Linked DNA regions of Callithrix jacchus. The protein of the gene in region 4 purifies or fractionates together with the protein of the main gene of each other region. This does not show direct contact. Links are inferred from orthologs where the notes say so. Each region holds a gene or a part of one and is shown on either strand. Other genes may lie near its edges. The genes, in order: CD72, CD22, RPL35A and PTPN6.

Region 1 (4,051 bases), on a different chromosome or scaffold from region 4:
CATGAGCCACCGCGCCCAGGCTACAGATACATTTTTGAGGTGACAGCCTCGTCTCAGTGGCCACTTCCTCTAGGGCTGGCTGGGCGGAGCTATTGGCAGAACTCTAGGGTCCCTGGCAGCGTCTCACCACACACCACCAATCATCCGAGCTGTTGGCATGCAATGAGGACCTTTACCCCCTTCCTTTTTCCTCCCCACAGCTGCAGGAGGGGGTTCTTCGGAGCGGATGCCACACTGCTTGGGCGAGTTCTTCCCACCCCCACACTATGTCTTGTTCCAGTTCCTATCCCTGATGTAGGCTGTTTTGGGGTTCTTATTAGGGGTCACATCCTGGTAAAAGAACATTAGGGAGTACCTTTGGACACCCCTGTTCAGCAGCCTCTTCTCCCCTTCTCTGGTTCCCTCTCTCCTCCATCAGCTAGGCCCCTATCACCTATGAGGGCCTCTCAGTCCCTGGGTCCTCTGCCTCAAATGCCCCTTTTTTCCTCAGGGACAGTGTTGGGACTTTTTAAAGGAAGAACTTTACTAGGAAAGTAGGAGGAAAACCAAAACCAAACCAAGAAAATGTCAAAACCTCTGCTGGTCCAGAGTCTGCGCTCGGCCTCTGGCTCTGCTCTGCTCCTCTGCCTTGCCTTTGCCTAGGAAGCTGCAGCCCTTCTTAAACCCTCTGCAACTCCCTTGCTCACCTGCTCCCTGGCTCCCCATGAGGGTGCCTGGGGGGAAGTGCTGCCACACACCTTTCCAGAGGTGCTGCAGTCGTGGCTGTTCCTCGCCTTGGCCTGTTCCTAAACCCACAGTTACTAGAAACCCCAGGATGATGAGTGACAGATGCAAACCAGGAGCCCCCAGTCTGATGGGGAGAATGGAGCCTCACCCTGGAGCTGGGGAGATCATCTGGATCAGTGCAGCTCCAGTTACACATCATAAGCCCCAGTGGACAAGGCAGCCGGGAGGAGGGTGGGGCAGAAAAGGGCAGATAACCAGGAGGACCAGTTTTGGGGCCCAGCATGGCCCACATGGGTCTAAGATGCATGGAGAAGCAGCACAGGCAGGACATGGGGACAGGCCCAGCCCCTACCCATGTGCTTTGGACCTCAGTGTCCCCTCTGTGGCCCCTCTGGCCCTGGCCCAGGGATTCCTTCTGCTTCATTGAGCCCATCTGTTTGAGACTTGCTCACATCTTCCTCTTTTGTGACTGGAAATCATAGGGCTAACTGCTTAGCGGTACAGTCACAGAGGTAACACAAAGCCTAGGTGTAAAGGGACAGAGAGGAGAGGGGCAAGGGAGGACGGTGGATGACAGGGAAGACGGGTGGGGGCAGAGCTGCTCGGGACCATGGCTGAGGCCATCACCTATGCGGATCTGAGGTTCGTGAAGGCTCCCCTGAAGAAGAGCAACTCCAGCCGGTTAGGACAGGGTAAGGGGGATGAGGGCTCCCCTTGATCCTGCATCCCCACTCCCTGCCCCACAGACCCCATTCCTGACTCCCACATCATTGGTCTCTATTCTCTTGTCTCCAGAACCAGGGGCTGATGAGGATGGGGAACTCACCTATGAGAATGTTCAAGTGCCCTCAGTCCCAGGGGTGCCCTTGAGCTTGGCTTCTTCTGGACTAGGGGACAAAGCAGGTCTGGAGATCCTGGGGGATGTATGTTTGTTGCAGGGGATGTGTTTGTTGAGGGGCTGTGTCTTGAGTTGGGGAGTCCACAATGTTGTTGTTGAGACAGGGTCTTGCTCTGTCACTCAGGCTGGAGTACAGTGGTGTGATCATGGCTCACTGCGGCCTCGATATCCTGGGCTCAATTGATCCTCTGCCCTAGCCTCCCAAAGTGTTGGGATTGCAGGTCCATAGTATTCTTGAGAGCTCAATACCCTGGGGGAAAGGAGGAGGCCGGTTGGTAGGAAAGAGAAGAATAGGAACAGGATAAATGGGAGCCAGGAGAGGAAGAAAGATTCCTTCAGCAAGGTGGAGACCCCAGGGCAGCCCTGGGGAGGGATGAGTTCTAATGGGAAATGGGGAGCCATGGGAGGGAAAAGAGGGAATGGGAGAGGTATGAGAGCAATGGGGGAGAGGGATTGGAGCTGAAAATAAGGGGCCACTGAGGAAACAATAAAGGGAGAACTAGGAGAGATGAGGGAGTCCCGGGACTGTGAAACCCAGGAGGGAGCCGAGAGAGCCCCGGGCAGACCAGGAACTCAGGAGAGTGACGGAGTGTCCCAGAGCAACTCTAGCGGGCTGGAGTTTCCCAGTGGCGAGGACGAAAAGCGGGTGCGCAGGAGGAAAAGGAGCAATACTCGAGGCGTCCTGTCTCACACTGGATGCTCCCCTCGACAGCGGTCAAGTCCGAGCAGCCAACAGCTTCCTGGAGTGCCGTGACGTCATTGGCGGTCGGGCGGATTCTCCCCTGTGAGTGTGTGTGCTGGGCGGCCTCGGGGACTATGGATGGCTCTGGGCCCCGCGGGGTGCAGCTCTTGCCGGGTTGAACCCTTCCAGGGCAGAACTGCGCCCCAGCAGAACCCCGCCCTGGCTGAACCCCTCCCTGGCTGCCTTGCGCCATTTACCTCCATCCCAGTGCGCCAGAATCCGACGTGCACCGCCGCCCCCTTGGATGGTCCCAATTCACCTACCTCCCCACCCTTCTCCTCTCTCCCTCTCTCCATCTGATATTTCCTTCCCCTTCTCCCAGGTAATGTCCCCGAATCCTTACCAGCTCTGATTCTGCAACACCTTCTCCCCTACATGCGAAACTCCCTGCTACCCAACAGAAACCACCATGCTTGCCCCCTCAGCTCTGCACCGCCCTCCTCTAGGGATGCCTTCCCCAGGAATCTCCCCTACGCACCCATCCACTAGTCTCTACTTTCTTTCCCGGGGCTGACTGCCCGCATCCATCCCACTGTCCCCCTAAGGCCGCACAGCCTGCCTGCCATACCTCCTGCTTGGCCTGCTCCTCACCTGCCTGCTGTTAGGAGTGGCTGCCATCTGCCTGGGAGTGCGCTGTGAGTAAGGCTGTCCCCACACCGTCCCCACTTCCCACTTACACCGAAGGACTTTCATCCCGACTCCCTCCCCAAAGCTGACCCACAAACCAAAGCTGACCCCCAAACCAGGGCTCATCATCACTACCACCACATGCTTAGCTTTAAGTTTGGTTTCCAGCCAGGTCTGTTGTCTTCCTGAATCGTCCTCACCTACTCCAGTACCTCCTTAAGTTTTAGGCAGTCAAATCTCGTATTTCAGCCTGTAATGTAAAAAGTTGCAAGAAGCAGAAAAAGGGCTGATGCTGCAGTCTCAGGGCACTAGGGCAGGGCTGGAGAAGACGTCCTCCAAATCTCTGTGGCCAAACAGATCTGCAGGTGTCTCAGCAGCTCCAGCAGATGAACAGGGTTCTGGAAGCCACTAACAGCAGCCTGAGGCAGCAGCTCCACCTTAAGATAACTCAGCTGGAACAGAGGGCAGAGGATCTGCAGGGGTCCAGGAGAGATCTGGTACAGAGTCAGGAAGCACTACAGGAAGAACAGAGGGCCCATCAGGAGGCCCAAGGGCAGCTCCAGGCCTGCCAGGCAGACAAAGAGAAGACGAAGGAGACCTTGCGAAGTGAGGAGGAGCAGAGGAGGGCCTTGGAGCAGAAGCTGAGCAACATGGAGAACAGACTGAAGCCCTTCTTCACATGCCACTCATCAGGTATCCGCTCTGGGGAGAGGAGAGATGGGAGGGATGGATTGGAGCGAGGAGATACTAGTGGCAGGGGTCTGTCTATCACAGTGGGCTGTGAGCTGTTCAGGAAAGGGACAGTGAACCAGAGTGGTGGCTGACATAAGCTGTCCAGCCTTGGCCAACAGAGAGAAGGACCAAGCTGCATACTGGATTTAGGGGGACCCACCCAGTTCCAAGGCATTCTGTGGGAGAGAGGAGGATGGCACCAGCAGTCCAAATCACAGTGTCCAAGGTTTCATTTGGCTGACATCAGTGACAAGGATCTGGGAACACTAGACTTGGCTGTTTGTACATCTTTCTAAAGACAGGGTCCTCAGCTTTAATTAATTTTC
Region 2 (3,559 bases), on a different chromosome or scaffold from region 4:
GAGGTGGTGGGAGTACAACCTTGCATCGTTCAGAAAGCGCACATCCGTCAATGAGAATGAAAGAAGCATAGATTACAATTCCCAAGGACGTTTAGTGTGGTCAAGGCCTTTCAGAGACTATTTCAAGTGAGCAAAAGCGATTCAAAGTGGAGAAAAGCAGGACTGGGCTGGGTGCAGTAGTTCCTGCCTGTAACCCCAGCACTTTGGGAGGCTGAGGTCGGAGGATCACTTGAGCCCAGGAGTTTGAGACCAGCCTGGGTAACATGGCAAGACCCTATCTCTACAAAAAAATTTAAAATCTAGCTAGATGTGGTGGTACATGCCTGTAGTCCCAGTTACTCAGGGGACTGAGATAAGAGGATTGCTTGAGCCCAGGAGGTCGAGGCTGCAGTAAGCTAGGATTGTGCCACTGTACTCCAGCCTGGGTGACAGAGCAAGACCCTGTCTCTAAAGAAAAAAAAAAAACAGGCCCGGCGTGGTGGCTTACACCTGTAATCCCAGGACTTTGGGAGGCCAAGGCAGGAGGATCACTTGAGGTCAGGAGTTCAAGATCAGCCTGGCCAACATGGTGAAATCCTGTCTCTACTAAAAATACAAAAAATTAGTTGGGCATGGTGGTGGGTGCCTGTAATCCCAGCTACTTGGGAGGCTGAGGCAGAGGGACCACTAGAATTGGGGAGGCGGAGGTTGCAGCAAGCTGAGATCGCACCACTGCACTCCAGCCTGGGTGACAGAGGGAGGTTCCATCCCTCCCCCCCCAAAAAAACAGCAGGACTGGAGAGAGGTGGAATGAAGTGGCAAGGGGTTCCTGAGGGGTGATCTGGGACAAGACATCTAGTCTCCCAGGCTCCAGCACGGTCTCTGTTCTTTTGCAGAAAAGCCCTTTCCACCTCATATCCAGCTCCCTCCAGAAATTCAAGAATCCCAGGAAATCACTCTGACCTGCTTGCTGAATTTCTCCTGCTATGGGTATCAGATCCGATTGCAGTGGTTCCTGGAGGGGGATTCAATGACACAGTCTGTTGTTACCCTGACCTCCTTGGTCCCTGACTCTGTCTTCACCCGGAGCGAGCTCAAGCTCAGGACACAGTGGAGTCACCACGGGAAGAACGTGACCTGCCAGCTCCACGATGCGAAAGGGAAGGTCCTCTCCAAAGACACAGTGCAACTGAATGTGAAGCGTGAGTCTCCCCAACACTCCTATGGGAAGGGCAGGGTCTTTGTCACCTTCTCCCCAGCCCCTCAGGTAGCACGCACCCAGGACACGGGGAAGCCTGCACAGACAGTGGTGTCCTCGCGCCCCGGTCACACTGACCTCCCTCTGGCACCACCCGCCTTGTCAGTCCTGGGGTTTTGGGAAATTGATTCAATTTAGCCTAACGTAATAAAATAGTCCATCCTTGGCCAGGCATGGTGGCTCATACCTGTAATCCCAGCACTTTGGAAGGCAGAGGCAGGTGGATCATGAGGTCAGGAGATGGAGACCATCCTGGCTAACATGGTGAAACCCCATCTCTACTAAAAATGCAAAAAATTAGCAAGGCGTGGTGGCGCGTGCCTGTAGTCTCAGCTACTCGGGAGGCTGAGGCAGGAGAATCACCTGAACCCAGGAGGCAGAGGTTGCCGTGACCCGAGACCTTGCCACTCACTGCACTCCAGCCTGGGCAACAGAGCCAGACTCCATCTCAAAAAAAAAAAAAAACGGTCCATCCTCAAGCAGCGACATGATTTGGGGATTATCTGATTAGGTCTCTTTGTTTCCCTCTTGGGGGGGATTTTTTATTTTGTGCCTCATTCATTCAATAAATATGTATCACAAACCTACTAGGTTCCAGGCCTTATTAGGGCTGCCAGCTGAGGGGGGGGGCACAGGGCAGGGGGCAGGGTGCAGCAGTGAGCAAAGCTCTTGCCCCACACGGAGCCAGCACTGCAGTGAAAGAGACAGACAACAAATGGATTAACAAAGAAATACAGAGCACGAGCCAAGACATTAGGATATGGAACAAAGCAATGTTAACAAAGAAATATACAACATTATTGTAGGTAGATTGTGTATTAGGAAAAAATAAGGCTGGGAGAGGGGAGTGATAGAGAGAGATCTCTTTAAGAAGGTGAGCACTTCAGCTGATTGGAACAGAGGGAGGGGCTGAGGCCAGCGAATATTTGAGAGAGGAGGATTTCAGGGGAAGAGAAGAGCATGTTCAAAGGCTTGAGGCAGGAGCTGGGAGTGGGAGGATCTCAGAGGCTGAGGGCCACATGTCAGGACAGGAGGCAGGAGATGGAGCAGGACTCCGGATCCCAAGGGCTGCAGTGAGGGTCTGGGATTCTGTGCAACGCGTGGAACCCACTTGTGGCTTCCCGCAGGATTGGCGAGGTCTGGTGGATGGTGTGAGGAACCCTGCATGCTGCTGGTGGAGACCAGCAGGCAGAGGAAGTGGGAGGGGGAAGCTGAAAGCCAAGTTAGGAGGCCGTGACCAGGCTGTGACCTGGGTCCCCGCTTGGTCAGAATAAAAGTCCTTTCCCCACATTCTGCCCTCTGAGAATTCCCCACCCCCTCCCGACTGCCCCTTTGCTCCTCCAGACGTCCCGCAATTGAAGATCAATGTCACTCCCAGTGAACCCACGGTAAGGGAGGGGGACTCTGTGACCATGACCTGCGAGGTCAGCAGCAGCAACCCGGACTACAGGACTGTATCCTGGCACAAGGATGGGGCCCTGCTGGAGGGACAGAACACACTCACGCTACAGCTGCCGGAAGTGACCAAGCACCAGAGTGGGACGTACTGCTGTCAGGCCTCCAATGACGTGGGCACAGGAATGTCAGGCCCAGTGGTTCTACAAGTGAAGTGTGAGGCCCTTGGAGCCGGGGGTGGGCCAGGCAGGGAGTTGGCAGGGGAGGACCCGGAGAGGGGAGACTCAGGGGTTCTTGGGGCCATGTGCTCAGGTTGAGGGGGTGCTCTCCTCACCTTCCCATTCGCCTCTGCCCCGTCTTCCAGATGCCCCAGAACCTTCCAGCGTTCAGATCTCCCCGTCACCGGCTGTGGAGGGAAATGAAGTCAAGTTTCTTTGCGCATCACAGGCCAATCCTCCTCCAACAAATTACACATGGTACCACAACGGGAAAGAAGTGCAGGGAAGGACAGAGGGGACATTCCGCATCCCTAAGGCCCTCCCCTGGCACACCGGGACTTATTCCTGCGTGGCAGAAAACCTTCTTGGTACTGGACAGAGGGGCCCGGGAGCTGAGCTGGATGTCCAGTGTGAGTAGCCATGCAGCCTCTGGTTCTAGGGAGAGACGATGGACACAGGGAGGGGGAACGCAGATGGGGCGCAGGGCATTCCCGGGTCCTAGAGTCAAGAGCAAGGAGCAGCCAGGGTCTCCTGACATGTCAGCTTCTCAGGGTAGGGGCTTTGTTGCTATTCACAGCTGCGTTCCCAGCTCCTAGCATAGGGCCTGGCTCACGGAAGGTACTCAGTAGATGCTTATTGAATGAATGAGGCCAGGCATGGTGGCTCACACCTGCAATCCCAGCTCTTTGGGAGGCGAAGGCAGGAGGGT
Region 3 (4,290 bases), on a different chromosome or scaffold from region 4:
GAGACAAACCACTGAGGTTTCAGCAATGCACAAAGGATGTGACTTTATATATATTTCCTTTAATTAGACAACAGTTGTCTTTCACCCAGCCTGCAGTGCAGTAACCCAATCATCGGTCACTGCAGACTCCATCTCATGACATCAAGCAATCCTCCCACCTATGCCTCCCAAACACTGGGATTACAGGTGTGAGCTACTGCACCTGGCCCCCGACTTAAATTTTAAGCCACTGACTTAAAATGTTAAAGGAACACTTTGCCTGCAGATGAAAAGGTGGGGCAATGATGAAAACACTTTCCCAGAGATTTTAATTGGCCTGGAATGGGTTAAGAAAATAGGATTGGCTGAGCACTGTGGTTCAGGCCTGTAATCCCAGCACTTGGGAGGCCAAGGCGGGCAGATTACAGGGTCAGGGGTTCTAGAGCAGCCTAGCCAACATGACACAACCCCATCTCTATTAAAAAGACAGAAGTTAGCCTGGCATGGTAGCACACGCCTGTAATCCCAGCTACTGGGGAGGCTTAGGTCACAGTGAGCCAAGATCACTCCAGTCTGGGTGACAGAGCAAGATGTCCTCTCAACAAAAAGAACTAATGTCTACAGTATCAATACCTTTAGGCATGCATAAAAGCCGCAATTTGGGCCTGGTGCACTGACTCACACCCGTAATCCCAGCACTTTGGGAGGCAGAGCCGGGTGGCTCACTTGAGGTCAGGAGTTCAAGACCAGCCTGACCAACACTGTGAAACCCTGTTTCTACTAAAAATACAGAGTTAACCCCAACTACTTGGGAGGCTGAGGCAGGAAAATCGCTTGAACCTGGGAGGTGGAGATTGCAGTGCATTGAGATTGTGCCACTGCACTCCAGCATGGACAAGAGTGAAACTATGTCTCAAAAAAAAGAAAAGAAAAAAAAAATCTTAATTTTAAGGCATCAACAAAATGCATTACACACGAAAAGCGTTCTAAACCACCTTAAATTCTGGCCAAAGGAGCTGAGAAGAAAATTAAAAACCTTTAAATGATCACAATGTAATAAGAAATTCGCTCCTTTATTAAGTGCCAAAAGTTCCTAAATCCAACACCGCCCTCAAAAAGTAATGTCCTTCTAAAACTCCCCATTAAGTTCAATGACGCAAAATAGGCACCACAGCAACACCAATCCAGCCTGGCCAACATGGGAAAACCTAGTCTCTAATAAAAAATACAAAAATTAGCAGGGTGTGGTAGTGAACCCCTTGAAGCCCAGCTACTCAGAAGGCTGAGGCTGGAGAACTGCTTGACACTTGACTCAGGAGGCGGAGGTTGCCATGGGACAAGATCGCGCCACCTCACTTCGACCTGGGCAACAGAGCAAGTCTCTTGTCAAAAACAAAAAAACCAATACCAAATACTTCAGCCACCTCTTTTGTTTATTCTTCCAATAGGAAAATGAAGCCAGGCGCAGTGGCTCACGCCTGTAATCCTAGCACTTTAATAAGAGGCCAAGGCGGGTGTATCACCTGAGGTCAGGAGTTTGAGAGCAGCCTCGCCAACAAGACAACCAACCCCCTCACGCCCCCACCCCCAACTAAAAATACAAAAACTAGCTGGGCGGGTGCCTGCAATCTCAGCTACAAGGGAAGCTGAGGCAAAACTGCTTGAATCGGAGGCGAAGGTTGCAGTGAGGGAGATAGCTCACTGGACTCCAGCCTGGGCAACAGAGCAAGAGTCCATTATTTAAAAAAAAGAAAAAGAGACAGATCTCAAATTAAAACCCAATAAACTTACTTCTTTGCTTTGTATACATAAGCACATCTCTTGCCCAAATAGAATTCTGTTTCATCTCGGGCATAAACACCTTCGATTTTAAGAAGAGCTGTGTGCTCCCTTTGGTTCCGGAGACCCCGCTTATAGCCGGCAAAAATAGCCTTGGACCACAGCCTAAGAAACAAAAGATACACAACATGAAACGCAATCTTCAACGAACCAGTTAGACCTGTAATAACCCCCACCCAAAAGTTACCTAGAGCGAACATCTAATTTTTTTCTTACCAATTTTAAGCTCTCATTTACGTTCACGTGTAACACACAAAAACAAACAGCAACTATATTTAAAACGCGTACCTTCCAGACATAGCTCCTTCTGTAAGTCCTGTTCCCAGCAGGCCTTAAAACAAAAGATTCTGTTTAAAGCAAGCCACACAAATGTCCCGCCCCGTCCCCTCTCATTTAAGCCTCTAAGGCAAATTCCTTTTGAATCGGAATTTCACGTAAGAGTGCGGGGAAAATATTACGCCAGAACATCCGTATGAAACGCGGGGTCCGGCTAGACATTCGAACCTCAGAGAAGTTAGTATCTAAGCAAACTTAAGAATGAGACAAAACTAAGGGACAAGAGGCACTAAAATAACTCTTAGAAAAGCCTGGGAACACTCGGGAAAAGAAATGGAGACTTAAGCAGAGAAACACATCTAAGACCTTTACACTTGGCGGGGGAGAAAAGCTGAGGAAGAGACTGTTAGCAAAGGGAGGAAACAAAAACCCTATCCTAAAGGAAGCACGGCCCCATGGACAACTGCAGACGAACAAAAATATCCATTTCACTCCGCTCGGGTCCAAGAATTTAACTTAGATAACCGGGCAGCCGTTCTCCGGGTGTGAGGGGACCAAGCACAATCAGTCCAGCATCTCCTGCATCCTGTTGTCTCTCTTCTTGAAACCCATAGAAATCAATGGCTGGCAGTGATTCCGATACGCACCGGCAACTCGCTAGGGTAGACGAACAAACTCACTCCAGTCATTTACCTCCAAATTTCAGCAGCAGGCGCTTCTCTAGCCTCCACAAGTGCCAAGATGGCGGGAAGAGAAATACGAGGCCCCGCCGCGCGGCCTTGTGGGATTAAGCACCTCTCCAATGCGCCCTCAATTTAGGCATCTTCTAAAAACGCCAGAACAGCAGCCCTCGGAAATCGTCTTCGGACTGAAATAAGTCACATTCAAGAGCACTCTTAGAATTATTTTACTTAATCCTTTCATTTTGGTAGGCTGCAAGGTAAGCCTATTAGTTGGTAACAGGGGAAGGCAAAATAGTAGCCAGCTAAATCCGCCGAAGCTGTGCGTTGCCATAGAAACAACTTAGCTTGCTCCTTGCGTCCCCGGATGCTGTCGGTGGAAAGGTGAGGCTGCCTGAGGAGAGGACGGTCCCACTGCCTAAAGGCTGATTGACTGTAAGATTGATTTGCGAACAAATCGAGGGTGCTTTTCCTTCGATTCATACAGCAATAGACAGAACGGAGACTCTAACCTAGCATGGAAGAGAAAGGCTGGGAGCAGGAAGGCAGCAGGAGCTCTTCCCTTTTTCTTTTTCTATACTTCTTTTCTCCCCTCTACTTAGTTATCTCTTCAAGAAATGAGTCTGGGCACTGTGGCTCACGCCTGTAAACCCAGCTCTTTGGGAAGCCGAGGCGAGAGGATCGCTTGAGGCCAGGAGTTCGAGACCAGCCTGGGCAGCATAGTGAGACCATCTCCCCCGCCCTCCCCTATCTCTACAAAAGAAAAAAAAAGAATTAAAAAAAGAATGAAAGGACTTAAATTCTTACCTCCATTCTTCTTTTTGGATCCAAGGTATAAGGAGGACTGCCTAGAGGAGGCTTTATCGCCTTTTTAGACTTATTTTAGCTACCTCGTGTCCGCACCTGATAGGTCCTCAGTAGATACTTGTAGAGGTGTATTCGTGGACGCCAGAGATTTACATTTCCGAATTATTACGCATTTATTTGGGTTACCCTATGGATTCATTAATTTATTTAACAAATAGTTTAATGAATGGCTACCCTATACCAAGGTTTGTGTAGGATGACCACATGGCAGTAAACAAATCTCTTCCCTCATGGAGCTTACATCCTACGAGGGGGAGCAAGACAGTGAACAAGGAAAATAGGTGGCACATTAGAAGAAGGTAGCTTCTGTGGAGAAAATTAAGCAGAGAGGCCAGTGTAAAAGGCTTTCCGCCCCTTACTTTGAGATGGGAAGTATTTAAGGGTTCTGAACAGAAGAGTGACTCGATCTGACTTCCATATTGAGAAAGTCACTGCGTTGGGACTGAAGGGAGGCAAGGGCACCAGCAGGAAGAGAATTATAGGTTACTGTAGTGAATGTGATGAGAGATGATGGTGTGGAAACACACGTGATGAGTACTGGAATTCTGATTATATTTAAATTCTGGCAGGATTTGCTGGTGGATGAGGAATGAGAGAGAGGAGTAAAGGATGGCTCCAAAGTTGCATGAAATAGATGTTTGTAAGTCAC
Region 4 (4,207 bases):
TCCTGCATTCCAGCTACAGACCTGGGGTCTTGTGGGTGTTCACACTTGGGGTTCTTGTGACTAAACTGCTAAAATGGTTCACTTGAGGGCAAGAAGCGCACTGCTTTGGGACATCTTCATTCATGCACCCCATCCAGTTGTGCCCAACGTAGAATAAGAAGTTGATCCAAACTGCATGGGGCAGAGTCCTGCATGTGCTGTTCTGCCAACAGCTGCCCTGCCAGTGGGGGAACAGCTCAAGCTCAGACTACCACCCCCTCCACCTGTCTTAGGCACGCTGGTCCTTAGGAGAAGCATTGACCCTCCACTCCCTCTTGCAGGTGTCCTCAAGTTTGCCCGCTTGGTCAAATCCTACGAAGCCCAGGATCCCGAGATTGCCAGCCTGTCAGGCAAGCTGAAGGCACTGTTCCTGCCACCCATGACGCTGCCACCTCATGGACCTGCTGCTGGTGGCAGCGTGGCTGCTTCCTGAGAGTTAGCCCTCCCTTGTGCCACTAACAGGGGAGGAAAGGCCTTGATGTTCCAGTCAATAATAAATGTGTCTGCGACTTAGCCTTCTTGTCAGTTTTCTTGTCACTCTGCCACCCAGGCTGGAGTGCAATGGCGTGATCTCAGCTCACTGCAACCTCCGCCTCCCAGGTTCAAGTGATTCTCCTGCCTCAGCCTCCTGAGTAGCTGGGACTACAGGCGCATACCACCGCGTCCAGCTAATTTTTGTATTTTTAGTAGGGACGGGGTGTCAACATCTTGGCCAGGCTGGTCTCGAACTCCTGACCTTGTGATCCACCCACCTTGGGTTACAGGTGTGAGCCACCGTGCCCCGTGTCAGTCTTTGTGGACCTGACAACCTCCCTCTCTCCTCCCCAGATTCTCTCTTCCTTTCCAGGCCGCATCCTCCTGAATAGCTCTTTCCTATACTCCTGGCTGGGCCTAACCCTGCTCCAGTGAGGGCTGAGGCTCCTCCCCTTTCCCCAGGGCAGGGTAAGAGGTTGGACTGGGCTCCTCAGCGCCCTGGGTGGGTGGGCGTGCACAGGGCGCACCTCCTTCTCTGAGGAATTGGGCTGTTAGGGCTTTTCCTTAGGCCCTTTGGTTTGCGCCTACTGAGAGATTTCCCCCATTGGTTGCTCTTCCCTCAGCCAGGGTTACTTCCTGGTCTTTGCCCCTACCCAACCTCCCGCCGCTCTGTCAGCTTGAGCTCCAGGTGGAGCTCCAGGTGGCTCCTCCTCTCCCGAGGGAAGGCAGCCCTGGACCGGCGGGAGGGCCTGCTGGACTCCCGCACTGGGGCTGCAGGGAAGCTGGCTGCTGTGGGCGGTCTCAGGCCAGCCCCGCCCCACCTGTCCTTTTCCTGGAGACTATTAGTCCAGGGTTTGTCCCTGCGGGGCCATTGGCCTGGCAGGCTGGATTGAGGAGGAAGTGACTGATTTCTGAGAGGTTCGTCCTCACCTGGCTTGGGCCACGGTGCACAGCTGTGCCACTGGCTCAGCCCCGCCCCCTGAGGCCCTCTGCCGTGACTTCATCCCTCCAGAGAGATGCTGTCCCGTGGGTAAGTTCGTGCACCACCTGGGTCCCAGTCTCCTGTTAGTTTTGGAGGGAGGGAGGCCTTGTTCATGCTCACTGCAACATGTGTGTGAGCCTGAGTGCGATCTGCCGCTGCCCTGCCCTGCGCCTGCTTCCTGTCCCTATGAACCTTCCCTTCCCGCAAGGTGTGAGGACCCCCGGGCTCATTCATGCCCCTCTGGCCCCTCTTTAACATTTTCCCCTGACAAGTGTATATCTCTTCTCTCCATTGCATTTCTACCTCCAGCCTCTGGGCTCCTGCTTCTGCCTCCTGCTTGGGACCTGTCCCTTGGGTAGTTCACATCACCTCAAACATAGCAGCAGTTAGAGGCCACCCGTGAAGGCCTCTCCTGCCCAGCCAACTTCCCTGCTCTTCCCATTATCTGACTTTGGTCCCATCTTCTTTCCGGTTCCTTTCACTTCCCTTTCCCTTGCATCATTCATTCATCAGATACGTGCTGAGCATCTATTGCACACAGGGTGCTGTTTAAGATGCTGGTAATACTGGAGTGAACAAGACAGACATGGTCCCTGCTTTCACGGAGCTTATGTTCCCATGGGAGGTCACAGACTGAACAAACAACCCAATAAATTGGATCATTGCAGATTCTCAAAAGTGTTATGCAGAAAATGAAACAGCCTCGGCTGGGCATGGTGGTCCACACCTGTGATCCCAGCACTTTGGGAGGCTGAAGCGAGAGGATTGCTTGAGCCCAGGAATTTGAGACCAGCCTGGCCAATATAGTGAGACCCTGTCTATACAAAAAATAAGCTGGGTATGGTGGCACACATCTGTGGTTCCAGCTATGGAGAGGCTGAGGTGTGAGGCTTGAGCCCAGGAGGTCAAGGCCACAGGGAGTGGTGATTGCACCACTGCACACCAGCCTGGGCAACAGAGTGAGACCCTGTCTCGAAAAAAGAAAATGAACCAGCTTCATGTGCTAGCAAGTGACTGGGTGTGCAGGTGACATTACTAGCTGGAGGGATCAGGGAGGGCTTCCTGAGGAGGTGACATTTGAGCTGAGACCTGGATGAGGAGGAAGAGGAGTTAGGCGTGGTGGAGAAAGAAAGAAAGAGAGAGAGGGAGGGAGAAAGGAAGGAAGGAAACAGAGAAAAAGAAGGAAGGAAGAAGATAAAAAAGAAAAGAATGATGTGGTGATCAAGAGTCAAGCATCCTTAGGCCGGGTGTGGTGGCTCACGCCTGTAATCCAAGCACTTTGGAGGCCAGGGCAAGCGGATCACCTGAGGTCGGGAGTTCAAGACCAGCCTGACCAACATGGTGAAACCCCGTCTTTATTAAAAAAAAAAAAGAGTCAAGCATCCCTGGGCAGAGGAGATGGAGCGCACAAAGCTCTAACGTGGGAACAAACAAAAAAAGGACAGTCTGCCTGTGATGCAGTGACAGAGGACCCTAGAGGAGCGGAGGCAGGGCCAGGGCAGGTTAGACTCTGTTGGACCTGGGATGGTGAAAGTGAAAACCTGGCCGGCCGAGGTAGCACACACATGTGATCCCAATTTGGGAGGCTGAGGTGGGAGGATCGTTGGAGCTCAGGAGTTTGAAACCAGCCTGGGCAACATAGCAGTTTGGGAGGTGGGAGGATCACTTGAGCTCAGGAGTTTAAGAGCACTCTGGGAAGCACAGGGAGACCTCATTACTACTGCTACTACTAATAATAAATAGCTGGGCATGGTGGCACACACCTGTGGTCTCAGCTCCTTGGGAGGGTGAGGCAGGAGGATCACCGGAGCCCAGGAGGTCAAGGCTGAAGTGAGCTGTGATTGTGACACTGCACTCCAGCCTGGATGACAGAGCAAAATTCTGTCTCAAAAAAAGAGAGAGAGAATGGAGAGAAAGGAAAAAGAAAGGAAAAAAGAAGAAAGAAAGAAAAAGAAAGAAAAGAAAAGAAGGAAGGAAGAAGGGAAGAAAGGAAGGGAGGGAGGGAGGGGCCAGGCGCAGTGGCTCAAGCCTGTAATTCCAGCACTTTGGGAGGCCGAGGCAGGTGGATCACTAGGTCAAGAGATCGAGACCATCCTGGTCAACATGGTGAAACCCCGTCTCTACTAAAAATACAAAAAATTAGCTGGGCGTGGTGGCACGTGCCTGTAGTCCCAGCTACTCTGGAGGCTGAGGCAGGAGAATTGCTTGAACCAGGGAGGCAGAGGTTTTGGTGAGCCAAGATTGCACCACTGCACTCCAGCCTGGTGACAGAGCGAGACTGTCTCAAAAGAAAAAAAAGAAAAAGAAAAAGTGACAACCTGCTTACAGAGTACTGGCGAGTTTGTGGGTGTGTGGCTCCCCAGCCCTACTGATTCTTGCTTCTCACACTCATCTCTGCTCCTGCCCCAGTGCTCACCTCATCACTGTCTGCCCCACCGACGGGGTTCCTACTGAGTCTTCTAGTCCTGAATCCCTTCCACGGCCATTTTCCTCCCAGGTAGCTTGGCCAGGCCTCCCCTTGTGCAGATTCCATCCTCAGTTTCTCAGCCTGGCCTTGAATGACCCTCTGCAGCAGGGTCCCAACCTCTCAGAGCAACTTTGCTCCAGCCACATAGCTCTGCTCACAGCCAGGCACTGCGCACATGAACTCTGTGCATGCCACCTCTTTGCCTTGACACATGCTGTCTCTGGGGGAGCACTTCTCCCTCCACC

Evidence for each region.
Region 1: the proteins of PTPN6 (region 4) and CD72 purify together in Homo sapiens (affinity purification with western blotting; 3 studies listed by BioGRID). This does not show direct contact. The link is inferred for Callithrix jacchus from reciprocal best matches to the Homo sapiens genes PTPN6 and CD72.
Region 2: the proteins of PTPN6 (region 4) and CD22 purify together in Homo sapiens (affinity purification with western blotting; 5 studies listed by BioGRID and IntAct, with this or other methods). This does not show direct contact. The link is inferred for Callithrix jacchus from reciprocal best matches to the Homo sapiens genes PTPN6 and CD22.
Region 3: the proteins of PTPN6 (region 4) and RPL35A purify together in Homo sapiens (affinity purification with mass spectrometry; 3 studies listed by BioGRID and IntAct, with this or other methods). This does not show direct contact. The link is inferred for Callithrix jacchus from reciprocal best matches to the Homo sapiens genes PTPN6 and RPL35A.

Annotation. Positions count from the first base shown.
Region 1 is NC_133502.1:142,531,055-142,535,105, reverse strand, and holds the start of CD72 (B-cell differentiation antigen CD72), read left to right. Parts: upstream 1-1,226; 5' UTR 1,227-1,336; coding exon of another isoform or gene 1,337-1,418; 5' UTR 1,419-1,427; coding exon 1,428-1,629; intron 1,630-2,336; coding exon 2,337-2,408; intron 2,409-2,911; coding exon 2,912-3,001; intron 3,002-3,350; coding exon 3,351-3,686; intron 3,687-4,051. UniProt on the Homo sapiens protein: Co-receptor of B cell receptor (BCR) that plays both positive and negative roles on B-cell functions. Recognizes the Sm/ribonucleoprotein (RNP) self-antigen ligand, and coligation of CD72 and BCR inhibits BCR signaling.
Region 2 is NC_133523.1:31,607,812-31,611,370, forward strand, and holds part of CD22 (B-cell receptor CD22), read left to right. Parts: intron 1-875; coding exon 876-1,181; intron 1,182-2,581; coding exon 2,582-2,848; intron 2,849-2,996; coding exon 2,997-3,260; intron 3,261-3,559. UniProt on the Homo sapiens protein: Most highly expressed siglec (sialic acid-binding immunoglobulin-like lectin) on B-cells that plays a role in various aspects of B-cell biology including differentiation, antigen presentation, and trafficking to bone marrow.
Region 3 is NC_133518.1:81,470,892-81,475,181, reverse strand, and holds the start of RPL35A (large ribosomal subunit protein eL33), read right to left. Parts: upstream 2,855-4,290; 5' UTR 2,742-2,854; intron 2,150-2,741; 5' UTR 2,118-2,149; coding exon 2,107-2,117; intron 1,924-2,106; coding exon 1,771-1,923; intron 1-1,770. Other genes in the region: DRC9 (dynein regulatory complex protein 9), read left to right, coding at 3,142-3,158.
Region 4 is NC_133510.1:21,210,806-21,215,012, forward strand, and holds the start of PTPN6 (tyrosine-protein phosphatase non-receptor type 6), read left to right. Parts: upstream 1-1,369; 5' UTR 1,370-1,529; coding exon 1,530-1,543; intron 1,544-4,207. Other genes in the region: C9H12orf57 (protein C10), read left to right, coding at 321-472. UniProt on the Homo sapiens protein: Tyrosine phosphatase enzyme that plays important roles in controlling immune signaling pathways and fundamental physiological processes such as hematopoiesis.